Linked DNA regions of Rattus norvegicus. The protein of the gene in region 1 interacts with the protein of each later gene in a pairwise test. Links are inferred from orthologs where the notes say so. Each region holds a gene or a part of one and is shown in the gene's direction. Other genes may lie near its edges. The genes, in order: Rabac1, Lnx1, Snx10, Trim32, Rab1a, Mief2 and Pbx3.

Region 1 (4,255 bases):
GGCTTCCACTGTCCCAAAGGACTCCTTTCCCAATTGCCCCAGACACCAAACGTAAAATCCCCTGTATTCAAGGCTCCTGCATTCTCCCAATTAGCTTGCCACTTTCTGCAACATACCTCTGCCTTCTCCGGAAACCCTGCCTCCCACATGGCTGCTCTCCATCTTTGCTGTGTTTGAGGAGCAGAGACTTGAGAGTTATGAAATAGAAAGACTTTTGCGTAGTCCTCAAAAAGAAACTGAAATGATTTCCACAACTGTCAAACCCAGCTGACCTTTGCCACCAAATGGTTCCCAAGGCTGGCCTTGTGGTGTCCCTCATTAGTCTTTAGGCTAACTGTACACTATATGGTCGTCCACTGACCTTCTGAAGCAATGCTGGACCTCAAGTGGGAAACCCAAACACAATTTCCTGCTGAGTGGCCCAGACTGGAACCCCAACTGCTCATGATTGCCCTGTAACACCAGTTCCAGGAGATCTAAAACCTGTTCTGGTGGCGCACACACATAAACATATAAAAGTAAATCTTTTCTTTTAAAATAAAAACACTTATTTTGATATTTAGTATATGAGTACACTGTAGCTGTCTTCAGACACACCAGAAGAGGGCATTGGATCCCATTACAGATGGTTGTGAGCCACCATGTGGTTGCTGGGATTTGAACTCAGGACCTCTGGAAGAGCAGTCAGTGCTTTTAACCACTGAGCCATCTCTCCAGCCCCCGAAACACTTATTTTTAAATAATGTGTATCTGAGTGTGGACATGTACACATGAGTATATCTGATCCGCTAGAGCTGGGGTTACAGGCAGTTGTGAACCACTGGGTGTGGGTGCTGGGAACCAAGCTATGATCCTTTGAAAGAGAAACAAGTAAGCTCTCTCCAGCCCCACTTCCAAAGTAAGTACTTTTCCTTTTTTTTTTTTAAGATTTTTTTTAAAGATTTTTTATTTATTGTATATGAGTACACTGTAGCTTGCTTCAGGCACACCAGAAGAGGGCATCAGATCTCATTACAGATGGCTGTGAGCCACCATGTGGTTGCTGGCATTTGAATTCAGGAAGAGCAATCGGTGCTCTTAACCACTGAGCCATCCCTCCAGCCCCAGTACTTTTCTTTTAAGGAAAGAAAAGGTAAATGAACTCTTTCCCAGGCTTGCCCAAACAGAATCAGCTTTCTGGAGTCAGAACGACAGCTCTGCATGGTCCACGGAAGCATGTAGATCGCCTGTTTTCGCCTGTTTTTGCTATTCCAACTCCTATCAAATCCTCTGTCCTGACAGCCCACCTGCTGTATTCCACTCTGCGCCTCTTGAAACTACAATTCCCACAATGCCTAGTGGCTCCCGAGCTCTTAGCATACATCTCCCAAGATGTCTTGCGAGGCAAACCTGCCTCTTGACGCCACGAGGACTACAACACCCACAATGCTCCGAGGCACAACTACCGCCCCCTAGAGCTCCCAGCGGCGCCACTTCCATTGAGTCCGGCTCGGGTGGGGCCGCCTAGGTGCTGCTGGGCTCGGGGATATTTACAGCGGTTCTATTCACTGCAGCGCAGACATGGCGGCCCAGAAGGACCAGCAGAAGGATGCCGAAGTGGAAGGGCTGAGCGCCACGTGAGCAAGCAGGGTGTTACCCCCAGATCCGAGACGCAGAAGTCCCTGCCCCCGCAAGCATAGATCTCTCCCCTTCAGAGACATCTCAGCCCCTCACCCCCTGGGAGGGACTCAGTTGTGTTACCTTCCTCCTAGGACCCTTCCCCCCCCCAGGGTTCAAGGTCAACCTTGGGACCATGTATGCTAGAATCTGGGGTCCGGTACCCTATTCCTGCCTTCATCTTCTCTGCCCCGTCCTTTAGGACCCTGCTACCCAAGCTGATTCCCTCTGGCGCAGGTCGAGAGTGGCTGGAGCGGCGCCGTGCTACCATCCGGCCCTGGGGCACCTTCGTGGACCAGCAACGTTTCTCGCGACCCCGCAACGTAGGCGAGCTTTGCCAGCGCCTGGTTCGCAACGTGGAGTATTATCAAAGCAACTACGTGTTTGTGTTTCTGGGCCTCATCCTGTACTGCGTGTGAGTGCCTCCGCGGCCCCGCCCTCGATAGTCCGGCCCCGCCCCCGGCTGCCAGGCCCCGCCCAGACCAGTTAGCACCTTTGTCACCACAAGACCTGGTCAGTCTGTACTCTTGCATCCACTTGACCAGGGTGCAGTGTGACCTTCGCTGACCTAGAAGGACGTAACTTCTGTTTGTCCAAAGCTACAGGGACCTGGCTGATGCAGCCTCGGATACCTAACTCCTGTCTCCCACACTCTTCCAGGGTGACATCCCCCATGCTGCTGGTGGCTCTGGCTGTCTTCTTTGGCGCCTGTTACATTCTCTATCTGCGCACGTTGCAGTCTAAGCTTGTGCTCTTTGGTGAGAAATCCCCTGCCCAAATGGCTTCCCAAGCCTTTCTGATCGTGGTCTCACGGAATGCAAACCTCCGAATATTTGGGACTCAAGTCGGCCCCTACCGAGATGCACACTAGAGTCATTTAACCTGGTCCTTAAGGGCTTAGACCTACCAGGTGCTCCCCTCCAGTCTCAGCTTCTCAAACCCAGAGAGACCCCAAAGCCCCTGGCACCTCTGTCTCAGGTAAATGACTTAATCCAGTTCCTCCCAAACCCCGACGTAAAACATCAGCTGCAGATACCCATACTGGACACCAGATGGCGACCTTATGCAGGCTTAGATCCGTGTTCCTTCCCAAACCTTCGGATTCTCAGAGGGGAAAGGCCCCACTGGGAAGAAAGGTGTCAAGGAAGACTCTCTGAGGAGAAATCCAAGGGTTTCCAAGGAGACTTAAAACAAGTCTTTCGGGGGTTGGGGATTTAGCTCAGTGGTAGAGCGCTTGCCTAGGAAGCGCAAGGCCCTGGGTTCAGTCCCCAGCTCCGAAAAAAAAGAACCAAAAAAAAAAAAAAAAAACCAAGTCTTTCGTGACCCAGCAAGTTTAAGTACCAGACAAAGATGGGCTGTGGCAAAGGAATACTGGAACTTGGCTTCTGCAGATAGTGGTCACTAGGGTGCACACGTTTCTCAGGCATAGGAGAGCCTGGCCAGGGGGTGGGGGGGTGGGAGGGGAAGCATATATATTCTATATATATTGAGAGCAGGGAATGCGTCTCGTTCCAATTATGTCGTCTCCCAGGAACTCACTAGGCTGGCCTCCAATTCACAGATTCCCCCCACCTCTGTGTCCAGAGTACTAGGGTTGAAGAAGAGGGCCAGCATGTCCTAGCCTTAAAAAATGTGTGGGCTGGGGATTTAGCTCAGTGGTAGAGCACTTGCCTAGCAAGCACAAGGCCCTGGGTTCGGTCCCCAGCTCCGAAAAAAAGAAAAAAAAATGTGTAATGCAGGAGCCCCTCTGGAAGACAAGTGCTTTTAACTGCTGGGTCACCTTCTCCAACCCTCACAAACCAAATTCTTGTGAAGCTCATCAGAGAACACATCCCCAAAACAGAAGCTGGCCTGTGCCTGGAATTCCAGCACTTGTGAAGCTGAAGCAGGAGAATTGCTCCAAGTTCAAAATAAGCCTGGGCTTCAGAATCTTTAAAAAAAAATAATAATCAGACTAAGTGTCTAGAGAGATGGCCCAGTGGTTAGAATTGAATACTGTTCTTGCAAAGGATGTGGGTTTGGTTCCTAGCGCCCAAGTCAGGTGGGTGCACCATAGCCACCTCCTCGGGCACCTGAACTCTCGTGTACATATGCCCACGCAGGGCATATACACATAGTTCAAAATAATAAATCTTTAAAAAGTAAAAAAAAAAAAAAAAAAAAAAAAAAGGACAAAAATGCTCAGGTCAGATTTGGCTCGGAGCCACCTGGTAACCAGACTGGAACATCAGGCCCTAGACTGAGGTGGCCTGGGGCTCCTGGGGAAGGTGGAGCAGGGGCGGAGCTGAGGAAGGTCGTTATGGGGACAGGTCACTTTGGGGAGGTGGGGTAGGGCCAGGGGTGGGAGGCCCTGATGTGAGGAGTCTGTATTATTACATGGAAGGTTCCAGAGTCACACTAGATGGGTGCAAAGTGGCTCTGGTTACCTCTGGGAACGGCTGGCTGTCTTACACCATCTGTCCCCAGGCCGTGAGGTGAGCCCAGCACATCAGTACGCCCTGGCTGGTGGTGTCTCTTTCCCTTTCTTCTGGCTGGCCGGTGCTGGCTCCGCTGTCTTCTGGGTCCTGGGTGAGTACAGGGTCTGTGTAGGGAGAGGCTG
Region 2 (3,500 bases), on another chromosome or scaffold:
CAAAAGTACAAGCTGTGGCTTGTACAGGCCTGTCCATCTTCTAGAAAATGAGGGTGTAAAGTTGTGTAATCACAGGCCCTTTCTACTGAGAGGAGCGCCACATTTCATCCCATTTAGGATACTACAGATTCTTAGAAGAGTTGTATTGTGTTTGCTGACAAGGAAAGGGAATCTTTACCTGTGCCTCCAGTTAAATTACCCCAAACGCCATTAAACATGGCTAGGTTGCTCACACCAGACGCTCGTGGCTTCAAAATGCGCTTAGGTGAACCTGGCAACTCCCTCTGGCCTGGGTTGAATTGCTCAGTGTGAAACAAGCGACCCTTTTCCATGAAAAGTACAGCATTGCCTTTCGTCCCCTTGGGTGTGTCTTTTTAATGAAAGAAAACATTTTTTCGTTATATCATTTCTAGACTGTGTATATGTATGTGTCTCTGAGTGTGGGGTCTGTGTGTGGGGGTGTAGGGGGGTTACAAGAGGAATGTTCATGAAAGCCAGAGGAGTCAGATCCCTTTGGAGCTTGAGCTTCAGCGAAGTGGCCTGTGCAAGAACAGTATGTGCTCTTAACCAGTGAGCCATCTCTCCAACCCTTGGGGCATTTAGGGGCCAGAGAGAGAGAGAGCTCAGCAGTTAAGAGCACTGGGTGTTCTTCTAGATGACCTGGGTTCTCTTTCGAGCACCCACATGCAAGCTCGGAACTGTCTATAACTCCAGTTTTTGGGGATCTGATGCCCTTTTCTGGCCTCTGCCAACACCAGGCATGTAAATAGTTCACACACACACACACACACACACACACACTGAGTGTAAAAAGGAAAAATAAATAAATAGAAAATAAAGACATCAGTCACGCATGGCAGTTGGTCCTCAACCTTCCTAACGTTGCGACCCTTTAATACAGTTCCTCATGATGCAGTGACCCTCCCAACCCTAAATTATTTTTATTGCTAGTTCATAACTGTAATTTTGCTACTGTTATGAATCAAAATGTAAACATCTGTGTTTACTGATGGTCTGAGGCAACCCTCATGAAAATGTCATTCAGAATAACATGACCAGCACACCTATGTTAGGCCAATGGACATTCAAAGGAGTCCGTTAGAATGATTTCTGTTGGAACAGAGGCTGTACCATTTGATACCCTCTCCAGCAGTACAGTGGGTTAGTTAAAGCATCACCAGTTTCTGATCCAAACCTTTGTCAACAAACTGAAACGATTGGCCCAGTGGCAAGGAAACACATTCGGGAAAAGAAGGATCCAGAATGGCTCAAACGCCAGTTTTCGAAGCTCTGGACATTCTTCCCTGTCCCTAATGTACAGACGATGTTTGAGTTTGAGGGAAATGCAGTGAGTAAAATGGATGGAAACAAGAAAATGAACAGGAAGGTTTCTGTTGTCAGTAAGAAAAAAAATCAGATATTTTTCTCCCCCAGTGCTATGAGATGTGACATTTCCCCATGTGTGAGAGTCCCTGGCCCTGATTCCTCTGAAGAGCATGCAAGGCACTACCAGACCAACCTAGCAACAGGAATGGGAGCCATCACTCCCACCGCCTAGAGGAGAGCAGTTCCCAGTAAAGCTTGTGGCTTTGTGGCTGTGTGACTCTGTTTCCATGGGCAGCTAAATACAGGATCTGGGAGTGGCCGCTTGTATTTATGTCCAATGCTGTTGGATCTAACCCAAAAGAAAGGGGTGAGAGTGTGATTAGGGGTTTTCGTAGTCAAAATAAACAGCAGTAAGAAGCAGTCACCAAGTCCAAATGTAAGAGATCCCATCCTCAACTCCACTCAGGTAGATTTGACTTCCTACTGCTCAACAGTGGAGATTATGCTAGGAAAATGTAATAGGAAATTTTTAAAATTACTTCACAAGTCATTAATGCATTTGGCTGGCAAGCAAATATTGAATTCTTATGTGTGAAAAGGGAGGGGTGTACAGGGACAAGCATATGTATTGGGGAAGTCGTTAAACATTCTAAGTGCCCCTCTGTCTTTGTTCCAGCTGCAAAGGGGCCTCCCACTATGGCCTGACCAAAGACAGGAAAAGACGCTCACAAGATGGCTGCCCTGATGGTTGCGCCAGCCTCACGGCAACGACGCTCTCCCCAGAGGTTTCTGCTGCTGCCACCATCTCTTTAATGACAGACGAGCCTGGCCTAGACAATCCTGCCTACACGTCCTCAGTGGAGGATGGTGAACCGGTAACCAACCCCTCAGACACTGGCCGGAGCAACCGAACCAGGGGTGAGTCAAATGGGAGGGTGTCTGGGAATTGGACACTTGGTTTTCCCTGGGATTGCCCTCTGTAAATACTCGTGGTGGAAAGTTCTAGAAATGTTTTTTAAAGGGCAAATGGGTTCTGGTAGTTTTGGCAGCCACTCAATGTCCAGTTCTCCAAGGGGAAATGAAACTGTAATCGACCGTGTGATATGACTGCTCTCGAAGTGACTCTCACCCAAAGGAGGAAAGCAGATTTCTTAAATAAGTGAGATACATTATTTCACTACATAAAACATTGAGAAATACAGATAAATAAACTGTTATCATTAAGCGATCACTGTCTTAATATCCTGTCATCCTGTTCGTGTGTTTTATACCTGAAAGGTTTCCTTCTCGCTTGTTTTGAAGCAACACCGCGCTCTGCACCAGGGCTGGCTCTGGCCTCCTGAGCTTCCTGGCTAACCTCCTGAGTGCTGAGATCACCGGCACAGAGCAACACGCTTGGCTAAAGGAAAGCTGCTGTGGGCCTGTGATCTCACCTCCATTGATCTCTCTTTCCTCAGCACGGCCCTTTGAGCGCTCCACTATGAGAAGCCGCTCTTTCAAAAAGATCAACCGAGCCCTGAGTGCTCTCCGAAGGACGAAGAGTGGAAGTGCTGTTGCCAACCACGCTGACCAGGGCAGGGACAACTCTGAGAACGACACTGTCCCCGAAGGTAAACGAAATCTCCACCCCACCCCAAGGCGAGCTGTAAGCTGGTTTTCCAGAGTCATTGAGGGATGATGGCAGTCTGCCCGACTCCCATTCTCTGTGACCTCTGTCTTTCCAAGGATATATAGCCGTGAGTAGCCTCCTCACCTGAGTAAGGACAGGGACTTTTCTTTGTCATCTTTTACACAGGTGAGGAAAAATTCATCTGTTGCTGGGCTCCAGGTGCTGGCTTACGCCCATGAAAATAATGATTATAGTTAGAGAGTGAAAAGCATTTTATTTCGTTCTCACCACATGGCACCATGCACAGGCTCTCCGTTGAAACAGAAAAGTCATAGACCTGCAAGTTCTACATAAACTGATAGCAAGTTAGTTCCTTTGTTTTGTTTCTCTATGCTAATTTGTTTATAGTGTGTGGGTAGAGGTGTCTGTGCACACCCACACACATGTGTGCTCACATGTCATAGTGCATGTGACTCACGTGACTGTCGAAGGACAACTTGTAATGGTGGGTTTCCCCCCTCTGCCATGAGGGTCCTAGGACTGGTCAGGTCATCGAGCGTCTTGA
Region 3 (4,039 bases), on another chromosome or scaffold:
GTGCCTGACACTGTAGCTTCTTTCTTTTTTGAATTATTTTCATAGTTTTCCTTTTTCTGGGCTACAACCCTAACACTAGACACTGGAAAGGTCAGTTGGGGCTCTGCCCAGAGTTGTGAGGTCAGACTCTGATGTGTTGGGAAGATCATCTGTACTTGTAATCCCGGTACTTGGTAGACAAGAAGAGTGATTGCAGTGTGTTCCAGGCCAGCCTTGTCTGCATAATGAGCTCCAGCAAACACAAAGGTCAGAAGTCACATTCTAAATTAGTTCGGACTTAGCAGGCACTCAGAATCTTAGATATGTGGTACTTTGTTTTCCAGGAAATGAATTTCACTCACTCAGACAAGGACTTGAAAGTATACAAAAACAAAAAACAAAATAAACAAACAAAAACCGATAGTTGCATGTATTATAGTTTGTGTGCAATTTTAGGCCATTAAATAATTCAGGACTCAGAGATACGAGTCCAAGATAAGACATTGCATTTTCATAAGTTTTGTTTAGAACGTCAGGGTAGCTATGGAATACAGACCCGGACAACTTTTCTAGGAGGATCCTGGATGGTCCCAGAGTCAAAGGATTCACTTTCATCGCTGAGTTTTCCTTTTTTTGTTCTTAGATTTATTTATTTTATTTTATGAGTGTCTTGGCTGCTTGTGTATATGTGCACCACATGGGTGCCTGGGCAGAAGAGAGCGGTTAACTGGAGTTAAAGTCTGTTGTGAGCTGCGGTATGGGTGGGAGCCAGGTCCTTTGTAAGGGCAAAGAGTGCTCTTAACACTGAGCCATCTTCCCAGTCTGCACCACTGAGGTTTCCCATGCACACAGGTGGGTGAGATCCATCCCAAATGATCTTTAGGAACCGGACATATCTTTGGCAGATCTCATAGCTTTCTTCTCATCGTTCATGAAAATACAGGTTTTTTTTTTAAGTTACAGAGATACTAAAAATATTATGATAGCAAAGTCACATGCCCTCCATCGAGATCCCGCCGTTAACTGTAGTTATGCTTGTCTGTTATAGACCTCCCTCATCTTGATTCCTCACAGCCCGGTAGGGAGAAAGACCCGCTAGCTAGGTGGCCTTTCCCACGTTCCCATAAGAGGCTGGCAGTGGCGGTGGGGGTGGGGGGCGGCGGCGGGCGCGCAGGGCGGGGCGGGGCGCTGCGTGCGCTGGAAGCGGGGCTGCGCTCCTCGGGTGCGCTCTTGGGCGCTCGTCGCCGCCGCGCCTTGAGTCAGCAAACTCCGCCGGGCTCCGGGCCGGACCCAGCCGTCCAGGACCGCGCGTGAGTAAGCCGAACCTAGGGGAGGGAGTCGGGTGGCGGGCGCTGCGCCTGCCCTGGCACCTGCTCAGCCGGGCTTGGGGCGCCGGAGATGCTGGCACGAGCCGGTCTCCCTCCCAAGCCCTGCTTCTTTCTGAATACAAGGCCAGGCACCTTTGAGTTTAGAGGCTGGGAGGGCCAGGAAGGATTTTTTTTTTTTTTCTTTTCTTCTCCTCTTCTTCTTCATGGGATTGTGGGATTGATGGAAAAGGCCGCGGAGGAAACCCATGCTGATGATCGGATTTGCTGACATAGGGAAGCAACAGCCTGTTTATCGGTTTTGGACACATCACACTTTGCTAAAATTACAAGGATTGTTAAGGGATGGTCACCGGATGTCTGTTTCCGCAAAGCACGGGCGCGTGGAGAGCTCCACGGAGATCTCAATTTACGCGATCTCCATCAGCCCTTTTAGTTTGCGACAGGGGAAATCAAGGTCTGAGAGGGTGGAGCAGCACGCACCGGGTGGGAGGGGTGTATGAAAATCCCTCTTGTCCTGGGAGTGGGCTTGTGGGAGTGGCCGGAAGGGGGCTGGGGGCATTAGGGGATTCCTTCAACCACTGGCCAATCCATGAGGGGCTTTCTGGAGGAGGAGGAGGTGACGGAGGCGGAGGCCGAGAAGGTTAAGTGTCCTGGCAACAATACCTTAAGTGAGCTTGAGGAGTCTGCATGACTTCGCTTGATTCCTGTCCCTAAGGCAAGGGACAGTCATTCCGGTCTCACTCACCGTGTCTTCCTCCCTTCTGATCCTGGGAATGGAGCCCATGATCTTGAGCGTATTATTAGCAAGCATTTTACCACTGAGCTGCACCCTAGCCCCCGTTTATTTTTAAAGGAGTGGTAGAATTGAGATTGACTGACAGACTGTTTCGAATAGCGATATAAATGTAGATATATTTAGAAGTGACTATGTGGAGATGCTCAAGACCTCATTAGCAGCTTCTAGTTAACCAGACCATCCATCTCCGGTTCTGCCAGCACATTCTTAGTCACAGAAACGGGCCTCCCTCAAGGAGGTGTGCCCGTGGTGGTAATGGGGTGGGGTTGCAGCCTTTTGGCCGTGTTACCCACTTCCTTTATTTCACTTGTAGCAAGACCTTCCGAGATTGGTGTCTTGAAATGAGCACCATCATTCTTTCTATGTGCTAAGTGTCTCCTTTACCACACAGTTCTCCTCTACTTTAAAGCATTCTTTCTTGATCTCTCTCTCTCCTTTTTCAGCCCAGGCATGGCACTACTTTCATTTTGAGTTAAGGCATTGGGGAACTAGTTTCTTTTTCCTCTTTCGGTATCAGGGCTTTGATGTAACAACCACTTGAGAAAGGGGGAGAACTGCCTGAGGATAGGGTCCAGCCTATAACAGAAGGCCTTGGCTGAAGTGATGATGGCCAAGTGGAGAATTCCCTAGATTTTAGGGCTGTTATCACCAAAGGGCTTTTTATTTTTAAGTAACGTGATAGGTATGAGTTAACATGTAAGCTCTCTATGCGGTGCTCCAGCCATACATGACTATGCGTTAGCCACCACTTCTGGTTTCAGACCCTTCTGAGTTGAAATCTTGGTGCCTTCATTTGCTACTTAAGTTATCGCTGGCAGGTCAGGCATGGTAGTGCATGTCTGTAATCTGGACACTTGGGAGGTGGCAGCAAGAGGGTCAGGGGTTTGAGGTCACCCTTATCTCAAAAATGACAAAAGTGTCCTGGAACTCAATATGTATGTAGATCAGGCTGACCTCGAACTAAGAGATCTCCTTGCCTTTGCTTCGCAAGTGCTGAGATTAAAGGCTGAGACAGTATCTCATGTTATCCAGACTGGTCTCTAACTTGCAGTGTGGGAGAGAGGATGGTCTTGAGCTTCTGATCCCCTTAAGTGCTTCTGTTACAGACATGAACTATTATAATCTGTAGTTGAGGATGGCCTTGAACTCTCAAGGGCTGGGGTTACAGTATGAGCCACCATACTGACACCATTATTGTTACTAATGTAATTCCTTTTGAGGAGCTTCTCATGTGGCTCAGGGCTGCACAGTGTGTAGCAGAGGTTTTGAACCTACTTTCCAAGTGCTGGGATCACAGGCCTGTGCCGCCACCCCATGATTCCAAGGTGGGGGGGGGTTCTAGCCAGGCAATGATGACACAGGATTTTAATCCCAGCACTCAGAGGCAGGAGGGCCTATGAGTTCGAGGTCAGTGGGGTTGTGTAAAGCTAGCTCAGGAAAGCCAGGGCTTCTCAGAGAAACCCTTTCTCAAAAAATGAGGAAAAGGCAAGAGGGGCGGTTGGACTGAGTGTAGGTCCATGGTAGAGCACTTGGCTAGTATAGGTGAAGACCTGGATTGGATCCCCAGAATGACTAAGTAGAGCTTTATGTGATAGCCTCACTAAATCATGACAAATTATAAAGCCAATTTTATTATTTAATCAGCAAGCAAATGTGTTGCAGGTTTCTAATAAAGGTATAAAATGATTTAGGACTCATGTATGTCAGACCCTGCACTTTTTTTTTTTAAGATTTATTTATTCATTTATTATATATAAGTACACTGTAGCTGTCTTCAGATACACCAGAAGAGGGCATCAGAACTCTTTACAGATGGTTGTGAGCCACCGTGTGGTTGCTGGGAATTGAACTCAGGACCTCTCTGGAAGAGCAGTCCATGCTCTTAACTGCTGAGCCATCTCTCCAACCCCAGACCCTGCACTTTTAATAAGTTTTG
Region 4 (4,093 bases), on another chromosome or scaffold:
GTCAGAGTCAAAGGTTGGTAATAAGTGCCCATTCAGAGAACTAAAGATAGCTCAAGATAAACTTGATTAAGTGTGTATACCAGGTTTCTATCCTTTCACATTTGAAGTTCTAGGCATTTGGTCAGTCCATAGGATTGCCAGCACAGATAAAATTTCTTCAGAGAACTTCGAGTCACATGTTCTCTGAGCAGGTCTTGGGAGTTCTGGGTGGCTGGATTGGCTCAGGGCTCTAGAATTATCTGAGATAACAACACTGTACTCAGGGTAAAATTGTGTGAGAACTCCTGCATCGCCCAGAAGAGAGTCCAGTTGGAGAATGACTAGCCTGGTTCAGAGTTCCATCTAAACTGATGTCCTGTGGATATAGAACCTTGGACAAGTTGGGGATGGGGGGGGGGTAAATTTGCTTTTCCCATCTTTCTGAGTTCTAGTAATTCATCAAAACAACCCATAATTTTATTTCGAGATAAAGAAACGGAAAAATAAAACAAGGTTAAGAATGCTTCTCAGAAATTAAATCCAGGTTCTGGCAGGTAGAAACTGGTTACTTTGGTCTTTGACCCCTAGGTCTCAGTTTCTTTACCCAAAGTCTGTAGTTTGTAGGCAAGTGTTTAAAGATATTACTGGTTTTGTTTGTTGTCTTATCATCAGTGCAGAGGGTACTCAGCTTGGTGGAATTTCAAATATGAGAGCCTAGTATTTCAGATTCCTTCATATTCCCAACTAGTACTGTGTGTTCATCAGGTTCAAGAGCAGGTATTACCAGTCCCCATCAGGACCTGACCAGTCACTGGGCCACAGAACTGACCATCTGATAAGACTGAATGCAGGCTTTTCCTTGTTTTCTCCCTTTGCTATCCGCCTCCATGCTGTGAGGCAAAGAAAACCTCTTTCCTAAGTGCTGTGTATTCTGTGACTCCACTATGGGATGTGTCACAGGCAGAAAGACCTAGCCTGGGGACCTGCTGCTCTTTGAAGGGAGTGTGCTCGTCTTCCCTACATAAGATTAAAAGAGGCGTCTCTCTGTAAGGTGCCAGAACTTTCTGGAGACTACTACTGAGGGATTAGCATTGACTAACCCTGTTTAGACTCTGAAATAGCGCAGAAAGCTGGATCACACGCTGCAATGGCCTAGGTTTCTGAAGCCATCCCTACCCATTTAGCTGGGCCGCAGGCGCTGGGCCGTGGGCCTACAAGCCCCAGCATGCCTCGGGAGGCGGGGCAAGTTGACAGACAGGCGATTCTACAAATTGGCTATTGCCGTGGGATGTACGCGCTAGCGCATGCGCAGGAGGCAGCGGGCGGGTGGGCTGGCAGCGGTGGACTCGCGTCGGAGCCGCGGGCGGTCAGGTAGGGGGCGGGAAGGAGGGTCTGCGATCAGGGACTGTGGTGGGTCGCGGGGCTCCAAGATTGAATGGCAGAATTTGGGGACTGGATCTGAGTGGCAGGACCGGGTTGGGGAGGGACGGGCTCAGGAGCGATTCGGCGGGGCTGAGATGCAGCTGGGGGAGGGGAGCAAAGGGGCTGAGGAAATTTGCAGTTGCAGCATGTCGGGAGAGAGGTATGAGGTAATGTGGGGGCCATGCGGAGAGACGGGGTGCAGCATGTGTAAGATGCGAGGACCTGAAGTGCCTGGAGGTATCTGGGTGCATACTATCAGAAGCAGAAAGGAATTTGGCAGGCCTGGATGAGATTGGGTGTTGGCGGGCAGAATCTTAAGGGCTTTGAGGAGATCGGTGTAATGGTAGCAAGATCCGAGATCAAAACAGCCAGAGTCTTGGAAGATCCTAAATGCTGAAGAGAAAGGGATTTCTGTAGCGGAATCTGGGAAAGATTGAGGGGTGAGTTCCCAAGGGAATCAGTACCCAGTTAGCAAATCGCAGCAAAGGTTTGAAGGCAACACGTGAGGCAGGACGGGGGCGGGGGTGGGGAGGTTGGAGGTGGCACAGTACAAGATGGGGAATGCAGATGAGGGAAAAGGTTGAAGGAGGCAGAGTCTAAGGTACAGGATTGGAGTTTGGAGCTGCCATACGTGGGTGATAGGAGTGGAAGTTTGAAAATAGATGAAAGGATGTAGGGAGTTTGAAAATAGATGAAAGGATGTACCAGAGGGATGTGGGACACATAAGAGCTATTGGTGAGTTGCAGGGTTGCAACATACACAGTCTAAGAGGTTGAATTCTAGATTTGGGATTTATTGTTGAGAATGGGGTTTGTAAAGGATTGAATGGTGGGGAGTGAATGTTGTAACTAGATTGTACAATTCAAAACCAGGTGAAATTTCTGAGACCACTAAAGGAGGTGTTTGTTTGTTTGTTTGTTTTGTTTCTTGATTTCTGCATAATTGAACCCAGAGGGTGTTCTGAAGACCCAGGGACCTGAAAGTAATTTATAAATAAACTATGCATGAATGAATGGAATTTAGGAGAATGTAGGGGTTTGGAAATAAAGACACTGGTCTTCAGAAATCCTGAAGGAGAGTTTGACATTCTCTGAAGGGCAGAGTCTTCCTCACTTGCTAACTAAAGGCCCTTTAATCCTGAGGCAGACAGGTATTCTCACTAAATCCACTCTGACCACCCCAACTTCCCCACCACAGACTCAACATTATAGGCCTTGGGGAAGAACAATAAACTACCTAGGGGCTTTGCTACTTATCCCTTTCTCTGTACCCCTAAGCCCTCAAAGGTATAAGCCAAAATTATCTTAGATCTGACATCATTTTATAGAAGGTCTATTATAGCACAAAGAGGCAGTGATTCTATGAATGAAGTATTAGAATTGGGCGAGAAACAAAACAGGGTTGGAGCAAGGGAGAGCCTCACATGTACTGAGTATTTAGACTGTATCATTACCTAAAACCATAGTTCTCAGATAGGGTGGTTTTGTTCTGCCAGGAAACATTTGACCATGTCTGGATGGAGGCATTGTCAGTTGTCATAATTGAGGGGTTGTGGGGGTCTACTGATTTCTAGTGAACAACCCCCACAATAAACTGTCACCTAGCCAGAAATGCCAATCATGCCACAAATGAGGGACCTAGCAAGAGAGTCAAGAATTCTGGGTCCAAATCCTGGCTTTTTCTCTTCCTGCTTTGAAATCTTAAGACTTATTTGACCTCTCAATGCACAAGTTTGACCTCTCAATGCACAAGCTCTTCAGAGACCTGCATCCTAGGATTGCTGTACGGACTCAGTGAAATAAATCGGGGTACTTACTGTCTAGTGCCTAGTAAGTGTTAAGAATTTACTACTCTCAAAGATCTATGTGTACTTTCTTCTCATGGCAGTCCTTCTAAATATACTTTCTATGTCCAGTGTGACACATGAAACTAAGGCTTAGGAGATCACTTGTGTAAAGCCACATCACCAAAACTGGCAGAAGTAAACTGCCGTGTAAATTGCCACCACAGAATCTCCCCTCTTGCTTCTTTGCTGCAGTCGTCTTGGTCCTCCCTTTTCAGACTTTCCTAATGAAAAGGAGGCTTGCCCCATATTCAAAAGTGGGGTGACTTTTCTTGATCAGCAGAAGCCCTGGACTTTGTTCTTGCTTTGCTCTTAGACCAGAACCAGTGGGGAGATAGTGCAAGGAGTTTGGAGCTACGAAGCTGAGATAAGAAGACTCTGGCCCAAGGACAGTGCTAGACTGAAGGAGACTGCTCTGAATACCCTCCTTTGTGTATTTTGGTCTCAGGAACAGAAAGGTAGCATTGTCTTTATCAACTCCAAACCTAGCTACATTACAGGAGGCAATTTCCTAGTTAAAATCAGACTGGAGCTGAGGGCAGAACACTTGACTGTGATATCCACACAGATCACTTCTGGAAACACATGATGGAGCAGGTTCAGTTAGCCTTGGAATCAGGTGTTTTACTGCTTGTTTGGTGGTCAAGCACTAGTCAGCCTCTGTCTATAAACAGAGTGAACTCCACTGAGTGCTGACTAGTGTACATTCTCTCCATAAAGCTCACAATGTAAATGTTGCTCTTGATTCCATAAGGTGGGAAGTTAATAGGTAAGTTGCATGACATATCCTGGGCTTCAGAGCCTATGGCTAAGTGGGCATGTGAATCAGAAGTCACAAGTTGGCAAGC
Region 5 (4,247 bases), on another chromosome or scaffold:
TCTATAGAGGGAGTTCCAGGACAGCCAGGGCTACACAGAGAAACCCTGTCTCAAAATACCAAAAACCACAACGATAACAAAAAAAACCAAAACCCCCAAAACCTATCTATGTATGGTCTGATGAGGCTGTCAAGTCACATGGAGGAAGTCCAGAGGGATGTGTAAAATATACTGAGTATATGGTTAGAGATGAGAACAGCCTCTTTTGCTTATTTTTGTGTCACTGAAATTCAGAAATTAAAAGTAAATCCGCAGTTGGAGATAATATTCTTGCTTAGAACAAGTTGGAAGATAAACTTTGGACAGTGTATTATATTATGCCCTTTGGAATAAATAACCCAAGATAATGTGTTAAAGTTTAGTGGAGATTTAAATTCCTGAGCTGATTAAAGTTAAGGTCTGAAAAATGTATTAATATTAGTTCTGGAGTCCAGAATGAGTTTCCTGGCTTAAAAAGACACTTATTATTACCCAATGTTACAGACGGACACAGAATTTAACTAATAAAAAACAAACAGCAGCAGCACCAACAGCAAAACAAACAAACAACCCCCAAAACTTAACAAACCAACCCAACCCCAAAAACCAATTCAACTTTAAGGCCTCAAGTAGAAAGACTAGGTTAAGGTTCATTTTAGCCTGAGTCTCAAAAGCACAATGCAGAGCCTTCAAAGGTTGGGAGGTCTAGATGGAGGAGCAGTTTCAGACAGGTAAATCTGATTGCGTGTGCAAATGGACGGGGGCAGAAGAGAGACTGGAGCAGGGTCCATTTGCAGCTATTTCAACATCAAGTTGCTAGAGTAAAACGGTAAAAACAAAAAAAAAAAATCAGAAAAGGAGTCGGGTGAGTGTGAAAGCCCAAGGCTACACAGGCCACCTGACTTTCCTTTTGTCCTTAGAGCAGCCCCAGACTCTGATGGGGTTGGCCACTGCGTTCTTGCCAGAGCAGAACTCGTCAAGTTGTCCCCACCCCGCCTCATTCGCGTCCCAGCGTTCCTGGGAGCCCCCTCCCCCTCGGCTGCGGCACCTCCCTCCGCCCGGTTCCTTCCTCCTCCCCCTCCCCGTGGGGCACTGACTCGCCCTGCTGCCACGTCTCACTGATGACATCAACACAGTCCGCTCGACCTTAGCCAATCCGCTAGGGGGAGTCCGAGCGAAGTCCTAGCCAGCAGGCCAGCGGGGAGGGGAGCAGGAAGGGCGGGGTGTGGGGGTGAGGGAATCGGGACGGGGCGGGCGACAAGCTCGCAAGGGCGCATGCGTAGAGGACGTGGGGCCTAGTGGGAAGCCGAGTGCAGGCTGCCCTCGGCCTCGTCAGGCTGCCCAGCGCGCGGAGTGCTCACGACTCTCTTTCCCAGCGTGCCCCGCGACGCTGCCGCCCTCTGGGCCGCGACAGGCCCCTTGGCCTAGGCTTCCCCAGTTCCTGGTTCGCCGGCGGCCATTTTGGGTGGAAGCGATCACTGAGTGGCGGCGGCTGCTGATTGTGTTCTAAGGGTCGGAGTGGGGTCGACGTTTGCTCTACCGGAACAGCTTAGCTCATTCCTCCCCTTCCTTTACCCGTGGCGCGGAGGCTTGGGGCGGCGGCTGCGTCAGCAAGGGCGGTGGCGGCGGCGGCAGCTGCAGTGACATGTCCAGCATGAATCCCGAATAGTGAGTGCAGGAGAGCCGGGGCGGGCCGGGGTGAGGGCGTCCAGCTGGGGTGAGGGCCGCCTGGAGGCTCGCTGCGCAGCACTCGGAAGGTCGACCAGGCGAACGAGACGGAGCAGCCCGAGGGCCCCATTGTCTGATGGCCGAGGGCCGCAGCGGGGAGGGGTCGGGCCTCCGGGCCGGGTCCGGGGCGCAGCCGGCGGGGAGCTAGGTGCCGCGGCCGGGCGTTGGGGAGTGGGCCTCGGACAGCGGCCAGGAAGGGCGCGTCCCTGGAGGCAGTGACGGCTGGAGGAGGACTTGTTTTTAAGGGGAGGTAGGTGGGAGAGTTCTGCTAGAGGGCACTGTCAGACCCTGCGCCGGCTCTGCGGAGCTGTCAGCGTCGACAGGGAGGAAACCAGCTTTACTTGTAAATCCTGAGCTTGTTAGAGCTCTCTCACGGTTGGATTTCTGGTAATATGGATGCTTCTTGGGACTGCGTGGGCTTGAGGGGAATGAGGAGATGGCGAGAAGCTATTTACAATGTTTAGTTTCCTTTAGGGCTTGTCTCCTGGAAGAGTTGTGTAAGAATTGTGAGATGTGACCCTTCTAAAATCCTGAACATTTGTGAAATTTTTGTTTTAGGGGGACACATGAGTCTCTCAGTCACCTTTTGTTTCCGGTAGGTTAACAACATCAACAAAACTGAACTAAAAATAAACTAGAAACGTCTTCCTGGCACCACCAAATTAAAGTACAAGTTTGCAGACAATTTTGAAAAGAAACTAATGGGGCCTTTGATGATAGAACTGTAGGTTTTAGATTACCTGGTTGAATGCCTGTAGATAGGGAATGAGGTTCCATGACGTGTCATGAAAAGTTAATGCATTCCTTTTTCTTGCTTACTCAAGAAGTCACTCTAGCAGATGTGACACACCTGGCACCTTCATGGGAACTGCTCTTGTCTTTTCTTGGATAGATATTGTTGGGCTCTCTCTTTGACCCTAAAATTCTCCTCTGGCTTCCATATATGAAAATAACTCGAAGAGATGTCATTTTTATTATACTTTAGTGTCAGAAATCTTTAAGGGAGAGGGATTTTTTTGTTTGTTTGTTTTGTTTTTTTTTTTTAATAAGAGAAATCAATACTGCCCTAAAACCTGGGCTTATTTGTTGCTTTGGTCAGTCCCCGCTAAGTGTGTCCCCAGGAAAGGTCCATCCATCAGCTCAGCTGACTTGTCATGTGTGTGTCACATGGCTCTTGCAAAAGACATTCTAAGTTCAAGTTTTCTAAGGCTGGTTTAATACTGAAATGTGCTTTTTCATTTGGGTTAAGCAGAAGTCTTGGTATCTTGGTAGAACTTTACATACTTTATTTTTATTGTGACACATGTGATTGCAGGTGCACAGGTGCCACTTTGTTTGCGGCAGAGGTCGGGACAGATTTTGGGAGCTTGTTCTTTCTCCCTTTGTGGGTGGCTTCAGGGAACTGAACTCAGATAAGCACTTTATCCACAGAGCTCTGTGGTTGACCCAGGCTTTTGTATTTCTTTAAGAAGTTGGGAACAGTTCATATGGTGACACACTTACTGTGGTGGCAGCCCCTCTCCCAGCACAAAATCAGTTTAGGGAATGAGGTTCCATGACATGTCATGAAAAGTTATTGGGATTCCTAGTTAGATTTTAGGGAAACAGAGAAGAACATGGATTTGTTAGGAAGGTTTCTAATTTCTATTTGAGAAGATTCCTATATTTGTTACATATGTATTTAAATATTTTTATTCTTCTCAAATTTCCTAATGCTATGACCCTTCAATACAATTCATGTTGGGGTGACCCCTACCCATGGCATTTTCATGTCTATTTCATAACGGTAATATTGCTATCGTTATGAATCATAATGTAAATATCTGATAACGCAGGATATCTGGTATGTGACTCCTGTGAAAGGGTCCTTTGACCCCCATCAAAGGAGTTGCCACTCACAGGTTGAGGACTGCTGGGTTAGAGACATCCCCTGGCACTGGAGTTAGAGTACTTGTGACCAGCTGATGTGGGTGCTGGGAATGGAGTTAGAGTTTTCTCCAAGAAGAGAAATATTCTTCACTACTAAGCGATCTCTCCAGCCCTTGTTATATGTATCTTTTAAAAAGATTTATTTATTTATTTTATGTACCGCATTCTTATATTTTTAAATACTGTAAGAGATTTAACTATAAATGACCAAAGTTAGATGTTACTTAGACTATTTCTCTTTTTATAAAGTAGTACAAGAGACAGTCATTTTTACTACCTATTAAGGTAGTAGTGTGTCCATGAGTATGTAAAAAGGACAGCTATCCAGATCATGTTGTAAACAGTATAAATCATTTTAAAGCAAGCTAGGACTTAGGAGTGTAAACCTTAACCTCAAGGGGCCTGTAACATAACATAACATACAAAATAGGTTCTATACATGTCAGATACTAGGAGATAGAGCATGCAGATGTGCAGCATGGGTCAGGACAGTGTGACTTTAGGGCAGAGTCACTTGTTCTGGTTGGCTGTTGGGTTTTGGAAGACTGTTCTAGAAGAGACATGTAAGGTAGTTCAGCAGAGGAAGCCATCTGCCACCTTTATGAGTTCCA
Region 6 (4,118 bases), on another chromosome or scaffold:
CTTCCCCCCATCTAACCTTGAAGTCGTTGCCGCTGAGGTCCACGCCGCGCACGAACGGCAGCACCCCGGTGGCCTCCATGGTGGCGTAGCTCTCCTATGGGCTAGGAAGACGCAGGGTAGCCGGGAGCCGCGGGCTGGGTCAGCGCCGGCCCCGCCCCTTTAACCCGCGCGCGCCTCCTCCCGGCCGCGGCCTCTGCGGGAAGTGCTGCTAGGCGACTCCCAGAGCTTCAGGCCTCGAGTTGTGGGACTGGAGAGGCCTGCGGGGGTCCTGCTGGAGACGATCACCACTTCCAGTCTCCAGTCGCAACGTGGAGGGTCGGGTCCAGGCATTGTTGCTTGGGCTGCTGTAGACCCTGAGCTGGCCGTGATCCCGGAGAGATTTCGGTACCAACGTCAGGGACACAGGCAGTCTCTGCGTGAGGGACCCGTGGTGGTGGTGAGACTTCCGGGTCTTTGGGCCTAGCTCTTCATCTTTGGACTCAACTTTGCTCGTGTGTAACATGCTTCCCAAAATTGTCAGAACCAAGTGAGTACTCAGGAGTGTCAGAGAGCAGGATGCACAAACCCTCAAAATTCTCCCTTGGCCTCAGGATTCTAGCCAGTGCTCTTTATAGGCTTGTTTCATGCTCTAGAAGACCAGCATATCTCGTCAGCTAAGCTGTTAGTGGCCATCTTGCCCTGGCCTGCACATCGTAGGTTTCCAATAAACAGACACAGCTGTTCTATGGATGTACAGGGACTGGCACCCAGTGTTTCAGAAGGGAAGAGACTGGTAGAGTTCGCACAACAGGTAACAGAGCTCTTTTCCCGGTGTGTGCCAAGCGGGCCAAAAGGAAATGAGACCACCAGTCACTCTAGCAGGGGCAAACTTGAAAGACAGAATGTGGGCCTTTGGGCTAGGTGCAGTTTTGTCTGCCTGGTCCATCAAGGGACCGTGAGCTCAGACAGCTTTCTCCACACTGAGGCTCCCACTACAAGTACACACAAGGTCAGATGTGAGGCTAAGGCACGACTGCAGAGAATTCGATGTCAGTCATGGCTTTAGTGTGAGGCCCTTCTTCAACAAAACACCCCCAAAGTAAAACTAGAGCAGGCCCTGGACGATTGTCATTCACTCACTACTTCCCCCGCACCTTGGGTTTACAAGGTAACCTTGCGCCTTTAAATCCGGAGTGTCTGTGGTTTCCGCCCCCAGGTCCAGGGCGTGCCTGGTGTTCATTGGCTGAGCTGCTCAGTTTTGAGCACGTGTGCGCAGGAGTTGTGCGCTCCGATTGGAGCGAAGGCCTGCTTATCCAGCGTTCCTTTCGGGTCATTTGCCGCCCCGGGCCTCGGCGTTCGGTTCCCGGGGTCTGGACGCTCCATTCCTAAGCGGGTCCTCCTGGGCCTCCAGGGTCCTGCTCGCCGCGTCCTTGGGTCCATGCGCTGACGCTCGGACGCAGGTACAGCTACAGCGCAGGGGGCGGCCGGGGTCTCCTAGTATTGGGCGTGGCTTGTATCCCAGTGCAGGTGGGGGCGTGGCCTGTGGTCAACACTGCGGTGGGAGGGAGGACTTGGGAACTAAATATCCGAGTTCGAATCCCAGGGGTGCCTCTTCCCAACTTGGGTATTGCACAGGATTTCCAGGGTCTCAGTGACTTCGTTCTTGAATAGAGTCTAAGAGCCTTTTGTATGTGGTTACACGTTTCTGTTCAACCCTGATCCAGGGCAGTCAGCTTTGGCAGAAATGGAAGAACAGGTGACATCCAGGCTGTGAAGAGGCAGGTTATTTTGTTATTTTGTTTTATTTTGAGAAGCGGATCTATTATGTAGCTCTGGCTGTCCTCGAACTCAGTGTGTAGACCAGGCTTGCCTTGAACTCAAGGAGACCTGACCACCTCTGCCTCCTGAATGCTAAAATGAAAGGCCTGCGCCACCACAAGGGCCTGAGTTGGCTTTATTTAGCCACCTCTTTTATTCCCTTCTTACCAGAGTTTGAATACAAGACCCCTCCAGGTGTAGGACTGAGTCCCACGTTACGCAGGCGGTGGAATGTAAGCTAAGTCCCCTGTTTGCAGAGTGGCTCACTGGTCTGAGGGCAGCGATAGGTTTCGAGCTTGTAGTAGGTCCCCTGGCTGGCCTTTGATCTTGCCAGGCCCTAGGACAGGACAGGGTCTTATTTTTAGTTCGGGAGCCGTGGACAGGTGTCTCAGCTGAGTCACACAGTGCTTCAGGCTTCAACTACTCTAGGCATCTTGTCACTTGGCAACTAGGTCCCAGGGCAGCCATGGCCCTGAAGGAAGGGCTGAAGTCCTTGGTGCCCCATCAGGCAATGACCTTTCTGGCTTAGTGGACCAGGCCTAGAGATTCCTGTGTCTTTCTCGAGTTCCTGACCCGGCCAGTCGCACACTTCCCAATCTAACTCACTGGTGCAGTCATATAGATAAACAAAAGAAAGTCCTTGGCTCCAGGTCTTTCTCTCACATTCTTACCCTCGCCAACTCTGTTCAAGTCCATGGGCCCTGGGCAGCCTGTCCTGATTCAGTGTTTATTTAGGGTTACCTTACTCACCACTGGACTATGGGGCCCTCAGCCTGGTCTCTGATGGGGTTGCCCTACCCCAAGTAGTTTTCCTGTCAAGATCTGGGGGGCCAGTAACTAGATCCCTGAATTTGCTAAGGGTCTATCAAAGGTCTGACAGGCCTCACCCAGGCAGGCTTCCTGGAAACCCATATTGCAAGTCTTTCTGGGGCTTTGGGTTCCTCCTGACAGGTTGTCACACAGTGTGGCTGTTCTGGGTGGGTCCTGATGAGGAGTATGAGAACCTGGTCAGGAGGCATAGGGATAATACTCAGGCTGGGGGGTGGAAGAGTCTAGAGGCTGTGCTGTGAGTCCCAGACCTTACCACTCAGTTTGTGGCCTGGCAACTCATGTCTTTGTAGAGTAAGGGTGGTGATGACGAGCCCAGGTTCCCAGCATCTCGGGGTGAAGTCAGGACAAAGGCCTGGAGCCTTCCTATATCAGCCCTTTTCCAAGGCTTGGAAGCTTGCAGGTTCCAGGGAGGGGCTGGTAGGTCCCCTGCTTCCCTCCAAGAAACTCTTTGCGCAGCCCCTTTCTCTCGGGTCCTTAGAAACCGCCCTCTTGGTTATTGCTAAGCACCTATGCACGCTGGCCCTACGAATTGCTTCTCTTGCAGGTGACCATGGCAGAGTTCTCACAGAAGCAGAGGAAGCAGCATGGTGGCGAGGGCCTGGGCAGTGTGGTGGACTTCCTCTTGGCTAACGCTCGTTTGGTGCTAGGTGTGGGCGGGGCTGCAGTGCTGGGCATTGCCACCCTGGCCGTAAAGCGGGTAAGGCCATGGTGAGGCCTGCCTGAAACCTCCACAGGAGAAGGCCAGGACGGGGGAGCTGGGGGATGGTGGGACTTTTGGAAGTCGGACTGGAGCTCAGAGCCCCTACTTTTTCACCCTAGCTTCCTGGTTTGCTTTACTCCCCCTCCCCGCCGCCCCCAGCTTTGCCGTGCAACCCCGCACCCCCCCCCCCCCCATGCTCTGATCTGTGTCACTTTGCCTGTAGCTCATCGACAGGGCAACTAACCCTCGTGATGAGGATGACACCAAGGGGGACAGCTGGAAGGAACTGAGCCTGCTGAGAGCCACTTCACACCCCAAGCCCCAGCCCTCTCCTGCTGCCTTCAGCCAGCCCAAATCTCCTGTGTCCCCCTCCCCCTCTGCCCCAGGTGAGCTGCACTGCCTCCTTCTAGTGTGGGGAGTCCCCTGTGCACGCCCATGCGGAAGCTGCAGTCTTCACATATTTCTGTTCCTCTTTGGGTTGTGGGCAACTCAGATGTTTAATAGGTACTGTAGGTTTGTGTTTTTCTGGATAGAACCCAGTGCCTCACATGTGCTAAGCAAACGCAAACCTCAGCCCTGGGATCCTTGTTTTTGCCTGTCTGCTCTCTACTATAGCAAGGTTGCACCATGTGATGGTAGGGAGCCAAAGATGGGGAAACTGAGGCCTGGAGAGGGGCAGGATCTCTCTGACCCATTCTCCGTGAAGTTGTTGCAGTTGTAGAAGCCACAGTGTTGGGACTCTGGGCCAATGACTTTGTCATCATGCCCTCACTGTCCCATGACCTGCTTG
Region 7 (4,131 bases), on another chromosome or scaffold:
GGCAAGGCTTTTAGACCCTCTTTCCCGGTCTCAGCCCAGGACTTTCGAACGCTCCAATTGGGACAACCCTTTCTTGGCTCTGTCCCGCCTCATTCGGCGCTGAGCGTAATGCGATTGGCCCTGGACTTGCGGCCTTGTGCCCAGAGGGTACCACCTCTTGACAGGAAGAGTGGGAAAGTAGACCAGGCACTGTCCGAGGCGTGAAGCTCATCTCATGCAACGGGGGACCACGCCGTTGGCTACGGGGAGACTTTATCCGGTCCTATACAACACCCCCTAAGTCCCCAACTGCTAACAATAGGAAACGTGCAGGGGCCGGGGGCAACACTTTGCTGGCTGGGCTGTCCATCTGTGGAGCGCGGGCGCCGGTAGCCATAAGGCTCCCGGGCGGGCTCTCAGGCGCCCCACAGTAGAGGCCAGAGGGGACGGGCCGAGTTCTGGGGGACGGGGCCAGTGGCGGCGGCGGGAGGCGCAAAGCCCAATGAGAGAAGACTCCGCCCCAGGAGGCGGGGCATCCGGGGCGCTCCCCCGCCCTTCAGATCTCCCCGCCCCTCCCCCCGCGGGCGCCGGGGCCGCAGTGAGTGAGTGGCACTGGCAGCCTGTCAATCCCTCAGCCGAGCGGCCTTCGAGCCCGGTCCACGGCGGCTGCTGACTGGGTGCGCGGCACCGGAGGTGGCGGCGGCGAGTTCTCCCGCCTCATCAATCTGCTGTCCGCCCGGCGTGCGGCCCGCCGGGGCCCTCCACCGGGCTCCGTGTCCCTGCCGCGCCGGCCCGCCCGCTCCCAAACTTTCCTCCTCCGCCCCTCTCTCTCCCCGCGGCCCGCCCGTCGGCCTCCATCTCCTCCTCCTCCTCCTCTGCCGCCGCCCGCCGCCGCCGCCGCTCCCTCCCCCGGGGCCGCCGGTGCTCGGATCCCGCCCGGTTGAGGCGGCGGCGGCGGCGGCGGCGGCAGGCGGCTGAGGGAGGGGACCGTTCTGGCTGGCGCGGGCGGCGGCGGTCGCGGCGTCCCGGCAACTCGGCTGGCGCTGAGGACCAAGTTGTGCGGGGCCGCCCGGCGCGGCGCGGGGCGCTGAGGAGGCAGCGCGGCGGCCGCGTGAGGGCAGCGGGCACCACCGCCAGCGCCTCCGCCGGCGAGAGCTCCGCTTCCGCCCGCCGCTGTCCTCAGTCTCCGCCGCGGCGGAAGCCGGAGCCGGACGCCGGTCCGCGTCCCCTCAGTCGCGGGCCGCGCCGGGCCAGGCCGCCCCCTCCCGCGCGGGCGGGGAGCGCGCGGCCGCCTCCCCCTCCCCCTCCCCCTCTTTCTTCTCCTCCCTCGCCGCCGCCGCCGCCGCCTCAGCCTTCGCCTCCGCCGCCGCCGCCCGCTCCCGCCCGCGCGCGGCGGGATGGACGATCAATCCAGGATGCTGCAGACTCTGGCCGGGGTGAACCTGGCCGGCCACTCGGTCCAAGGGGGTATGGCTCTGCCGCCTCCCCCTCACGGCCACGAAGGGGCGGACGGCGACGGCAGGAAGCAGGACATCGGCGACATCCTCCACCAGATCATGACCATCACCGACCAGAGCTTGGACGAGGCGCAAGCAAAGTTGGTGTCGTCTCATTAAGCATCTTTTGTGTGTGTACGGGAGCCGGGCTCGGGTCCCGGGTGGTTCCCGGGACCGGGGCCTCAGTCTCGGGCGGGAACTTTCTCCGCCCGCCGGGCACTTGCCGAGTCCTCCATCGCGCGGGCAAAGTTGCTCGCCGGGTTCGGGACAAACTCGATCAGTGCTTCGTCCGTGCCCCGCTGCCCGGCCCCCTCCCCGGATTTAAACATCCCGCCCGGGCCCCGGTGCGCTCCGCGTCCCTGCCGGGTCCCGGACCGCACCGCCGGGAAGTGCAACTTTCTCCGCCCGCCCAGACTCCGGGCATCCACTCCCCTCGGCCCAGTCCGGGGTGACCGGCTGCTTTCCCCCACGTCCCTGTGCGGGAGCGCCAAGTTCTCTAGGAGGGAGGGCCGCTTGGCAAACTTTGCGGAGCTGTCACCCGCTGATTATCAGCCGCCGGCCGGCCGCTGCGCCCGCTGCTCCTGTGGAGCTTGGGCGTTGGGGTCCCCTCCGCGTCGGTCTGGTCCCTTGGGTCACCGCCGCGCTCCCCGGAGCGGAGCCTTATGAGCGGGTCACTCCTGCGTCTGCCGAGGCTTCTGTCGGCCCAGCAGATGGGTCACGCTGCTATCGGGCTGAAGCTCTCGCCGCTAGAGCTTGCAGCCAGTTGCGAACTAGTCAACTTGAGTTTTGTTGACTTCCCGTGGTTCAAAAGAGCTTTCCCAAATAGGGGGCCGGTTTTAAATCTTGGGTCTAACTTAAAGGAAGGCGCCATATTATTCCAATAGGTGATGCTAATACCTTTGTGTTTTGCTGTTTGTTTTTTAGGAAACATGCTCTGAACTGTCACAGAATGAAACCGGCGCTCTTCAGCGTCTTGTGTGAGATCAAAGAGAAAACAGGTAAGACTCTGCTGCCCACAGTGGGCTCGGAGACCCCCGAGGTGGGGTCAGATCTACTCCTTCGACTCTCCAGTTGAGAGCTGCTGCTTTTGGGCACCGCCATCTTTGATCATTCTTTGCTTCCCACCTCCTGATCTTGAGAAAAAACTGCAATAAATCTGGAGTCTATTTCTCAATTCTGCTTTGGTACAAAATGAAGTGTATATGAGAATGGAGCTGGGTCGCAGTTCCCTAGGAAGTAGTCCCTGGCTTCAGACGGGGAGGGGGCTCTAGCTAGCCGCCCTCTCCTATCTCTTTTTGCCTTGTGTAGCAGTTTTTAAACGGAGCAGTGGGAGACTGGATGCCAGGGACCAGTTCCCCTGGAGAGGCATCACCAGAACTTTGTTTTACTGAGACAGTTTTGAGCTTCGGTTCTACTGAAGGCACAACCGAACACGCCTCAGTAGCACCTTGGACTTAGTGCTTTAGATGGGAAGATTTTTAGGAATCCAGGAAGGAAGATCATGTGCTTAGGCATGTGCAATGTATCACGCCTATTAGTACTTATATTACAGTCTGTCTTACAACTGCTACACTTGTAAAACTGAGCTTCAGTGTGTGGAGAAAGATGTCCACAGATGCTGACGAAACCTTCTGAAGTTCAGGGCAGGAGCAGCATAGGTTTTGCAGAAGTGCTAGAATGAAAATTGCTGATACATATTAGGGAAATTTTTTTGACAGTTCCTTATAGTTTAACTTTCTTGTCAGACTTTTTTTATTTAAGGTAAATTTACTCTTGACTTAAGGGTAAAGCTAAAGTATATTCATGTATATGTGTATTTATACACATATATATCTCACATGTTTTAGTTTGTTTAGTTATCTTTCCTGTATGTGGTAAAAACAAAGCTCCATTGATCAAGCTTTACCACTGATCGATTGATTTATTTGTTGTATGTGTTGGGTTGTATTGCTTTTTATAGTTGCCTTTTGTAAATTGAGGCAAAGAAGAAAAAAAAAATCAAGCTCAGTGTATTGCATTTTCCAGCTAATGCTGTTTTAATGTTTCAAGGTTTGGCTGTCTTTGAATTGATTTTACAAATAATAATAATTGCCTAGGACTGTTAGGCAGGAAGTCAAGTCATACTCTTTTTATAAAAAACAGGTACTATCTATAGTCCTAAAAGTAAGTCAGAGGAGATGGTGGTTTATTAGCCTCTCTTGATGTATATATGCTAAACCATAATTGCTAGTAAATATTGAGAGCTGAAAGAAGTAACTTTATTTGCTTCTCATTCGTAAGCCATGATTTTTTTTTTTAATGATAGGTTTTTGTTTTTCTTTCTTTTCTTCTCTTTGGCGACACACTTTACATTCTGAATACCAAAGTCATTTTAAATTACTGACTTGTTACATGTTGATTTTTAGAAACCTTGAGTACCTTATGATTTAAGATGGCAGATGATTTTACTCTAAGTATAAAGACACCCGGCATTGAATCTTGAAGGCTTTTAATCTGGGTGAATGAAAGTATATAACTCTTAGAACATTTATGTTGCTTAATTTCCAAGGGTTTCCTTCCTATCAGGGCTGTACTCCAGTTTGTGCTGACAGCTAAGCACTGGAGTATTGACTGTGCTGTGAATATTAAGATTGATTCAATTTTATATGGCACTATA

Evidence for each region.
Region 2: the proteins of Rabac1 (region 1) and Lnx1 interact in a two-hybrid assay, tested with the Homo sapiens proteins (2 studies listed by BioGRID and IntAct). The link is inferred for Rattus norvegicus from reciprocal best matches to the Homo sapiens genes RABAC1 and LNX1.
Region 3: the proteins of Rabac1 (region 1) and Snx10 interact in binary tests that used the Homo sapiens proteins (3 or more experiments, as listed by UniProt). The two-hybrid records come from large-scale screens. The link is inferred for Rattus norvegicus from reciprocal best matches to the Homo sapiens genes RABAC1 and SNX10.
Region 4: the proteins of Rabac1 (region 1) and Trim32 interact in binary tests that used the Homo sapiens proteins (3 or more experiments, as listed by UniProt). The two-hybrid records come from large-scale screens. The link is inferred for Rattus norvegicus from reciprocal best matches to the Homo sapiens genes RABAC1 and TRIM32.
Region 5: the proteins of Rabac1 (region 1) and Rab1a interact in a two-hybrid assay, tested with the Homo sapiens proteins (2 studies listed by BioGRID and IntAct). The link is inferred for Rattus norvegicus from reciprocal best matches to the Homo sapiens genes RABAC1 and RAB1A.
Region 6: the proteins of Rabac1 (region 1) and Mief2 interact in binary tests that used the Homo sapiens proteins (3 or more experiments, as listed by UniProt). The two-hybrid records come from large-scale screens. The link is inferred for Rattus norvegicus from reciprocal best matches to the Homo sapiens genes RABAC1 and MIEF2.
Region 7: the proteins of Rabac1 (region 1) and Pbx3 interact in a two-hybrid assay, tested with the Homo sapiens proteins (2 studies listed by BioGRID). The two-hybrid records come from large-scale screens. The link is inferred for Rattus norvegicus from reciprocal best matches to the Homo sapiens genes RABAC1 and PBX3.

What each region holds. Positions count from the first base shown.
Region 1 is NC_086019.1:89,692,218-89,696,472, reverse strand, and holds the start of Rabac1 (prenylated Rab acceptor protein 1), read left to right. Parts: upstream 1-1,455; 5' UTR 1,456-1,560; coding exon 1,561-1,616; intron 1,617-1,858; coding exon 1,859-2,071; intron 2,072-2,316; coding exon 2,317-2,414; intron 2,415-4,122; coding exon 4,123-4,224; intron 4,225-4,255. UniProt on the Homo sapiens protein: General Rab protein regulator required for vesicle formation from the Golgi complex. May control vesicle docking and fusion by mediating the action of Rab GTPases to the SNARE complexes.
Region 2 is NC_086032.1:33,938,071-33,941,570, forward strand, and holds part of Lnx1 (E3 ubiquitin-protein ligase LNX), read left to right. Parts: intron 1-2,002; coding exon 2,003-2,244; intron 2,245-2,783; coding exon 2,784-2,936; intron 2,937-3,500.
Region 3 is NC_086022.1:81,942,084-81,946,122, forward strand, and holds the start of Snx10 (sorting nexin-10), read left to right. Parts: upstream 1-1,239; 5' UTR 1,240-1,289; exon of another isoform or gene 1,290-1,293; intron 1,294-4,039. UniProt on the Homo sapiens protein: Probable phosphoinositide-binding protein involved in protein sorting and membrane trafficking in endosomes. Plays a role in cilium biogenesis through regulation of the transport and the localization of proteins to the cilium.
Region 4 is NC_086023.1:84,019,339-84,023,431, forward strand, and holds the start of Trim32 (E3 ubiquitin-protein ligase TRIM32), read left to right. Parts: upstream 1-1,293; 5' UTR 1,294-1,350; intron 1,351-4,093. UniProt on the Homo sapiens protein: E3 ubiquitin ligase that plays a role in various biological processes including neural stem cell differentiation, innate immunity, inflammatory resonse and autophagy.
Region 5 is NC_086032.1:98,622,230-98,626,476, forward strand, and holds the start of Rab1a (ras-related protein Rab-1A), read left to right. Parts: upstream 1-1,447; 5' UTR 1,448-1,624; coding exon 1,625-1,647; intron 1,648-4,247. UniProt on the Homo sapiens protein: The small GTPases Rab are key regulators of intracellular membrane trafficking, from the formation of transport vesicles to their fusion with membranes.
Region 6 is NC_086028.1:45,907,391-45,911,508, forward strand, and holds the start of Mief2 (mitochondrial dynamics protein MID49), read left to right. Parts: upstream 1-1,318; 5' UTR 1,319-1,439; intron 1,440-3,172; 5' UTR 3,173-3,178; coding exon 3,179-3,325; intron 3,326-3,551; coding exon 3,552-3,714; intron 3,715-4,118. Other genes in the region: Flii (protein flightless-1 homolog), read right to left, coding at 17-79. UniProt on the Homo sapiens protein: Mitochondrial outer membrane protein involved in the regulation of mitochondrial organization.
Region 7 is NC_086021.1:38,077,096-38,081,226, reverse strand, and holds the start of Pbx3 (pre-B-cell leukemia transcription factor 3), read left to right. Parts: upstream 1-1,331; 5' UTR 1,332-1,376; coding exon 1,377-1,576; intron 1,577-2,399; coding exon 2,400-2,473; intron 2,474-4,131. UniProt on the Homo sapiens protein: Transcriptional activator that binds the sequence 5'-ATCAATCAA-3'.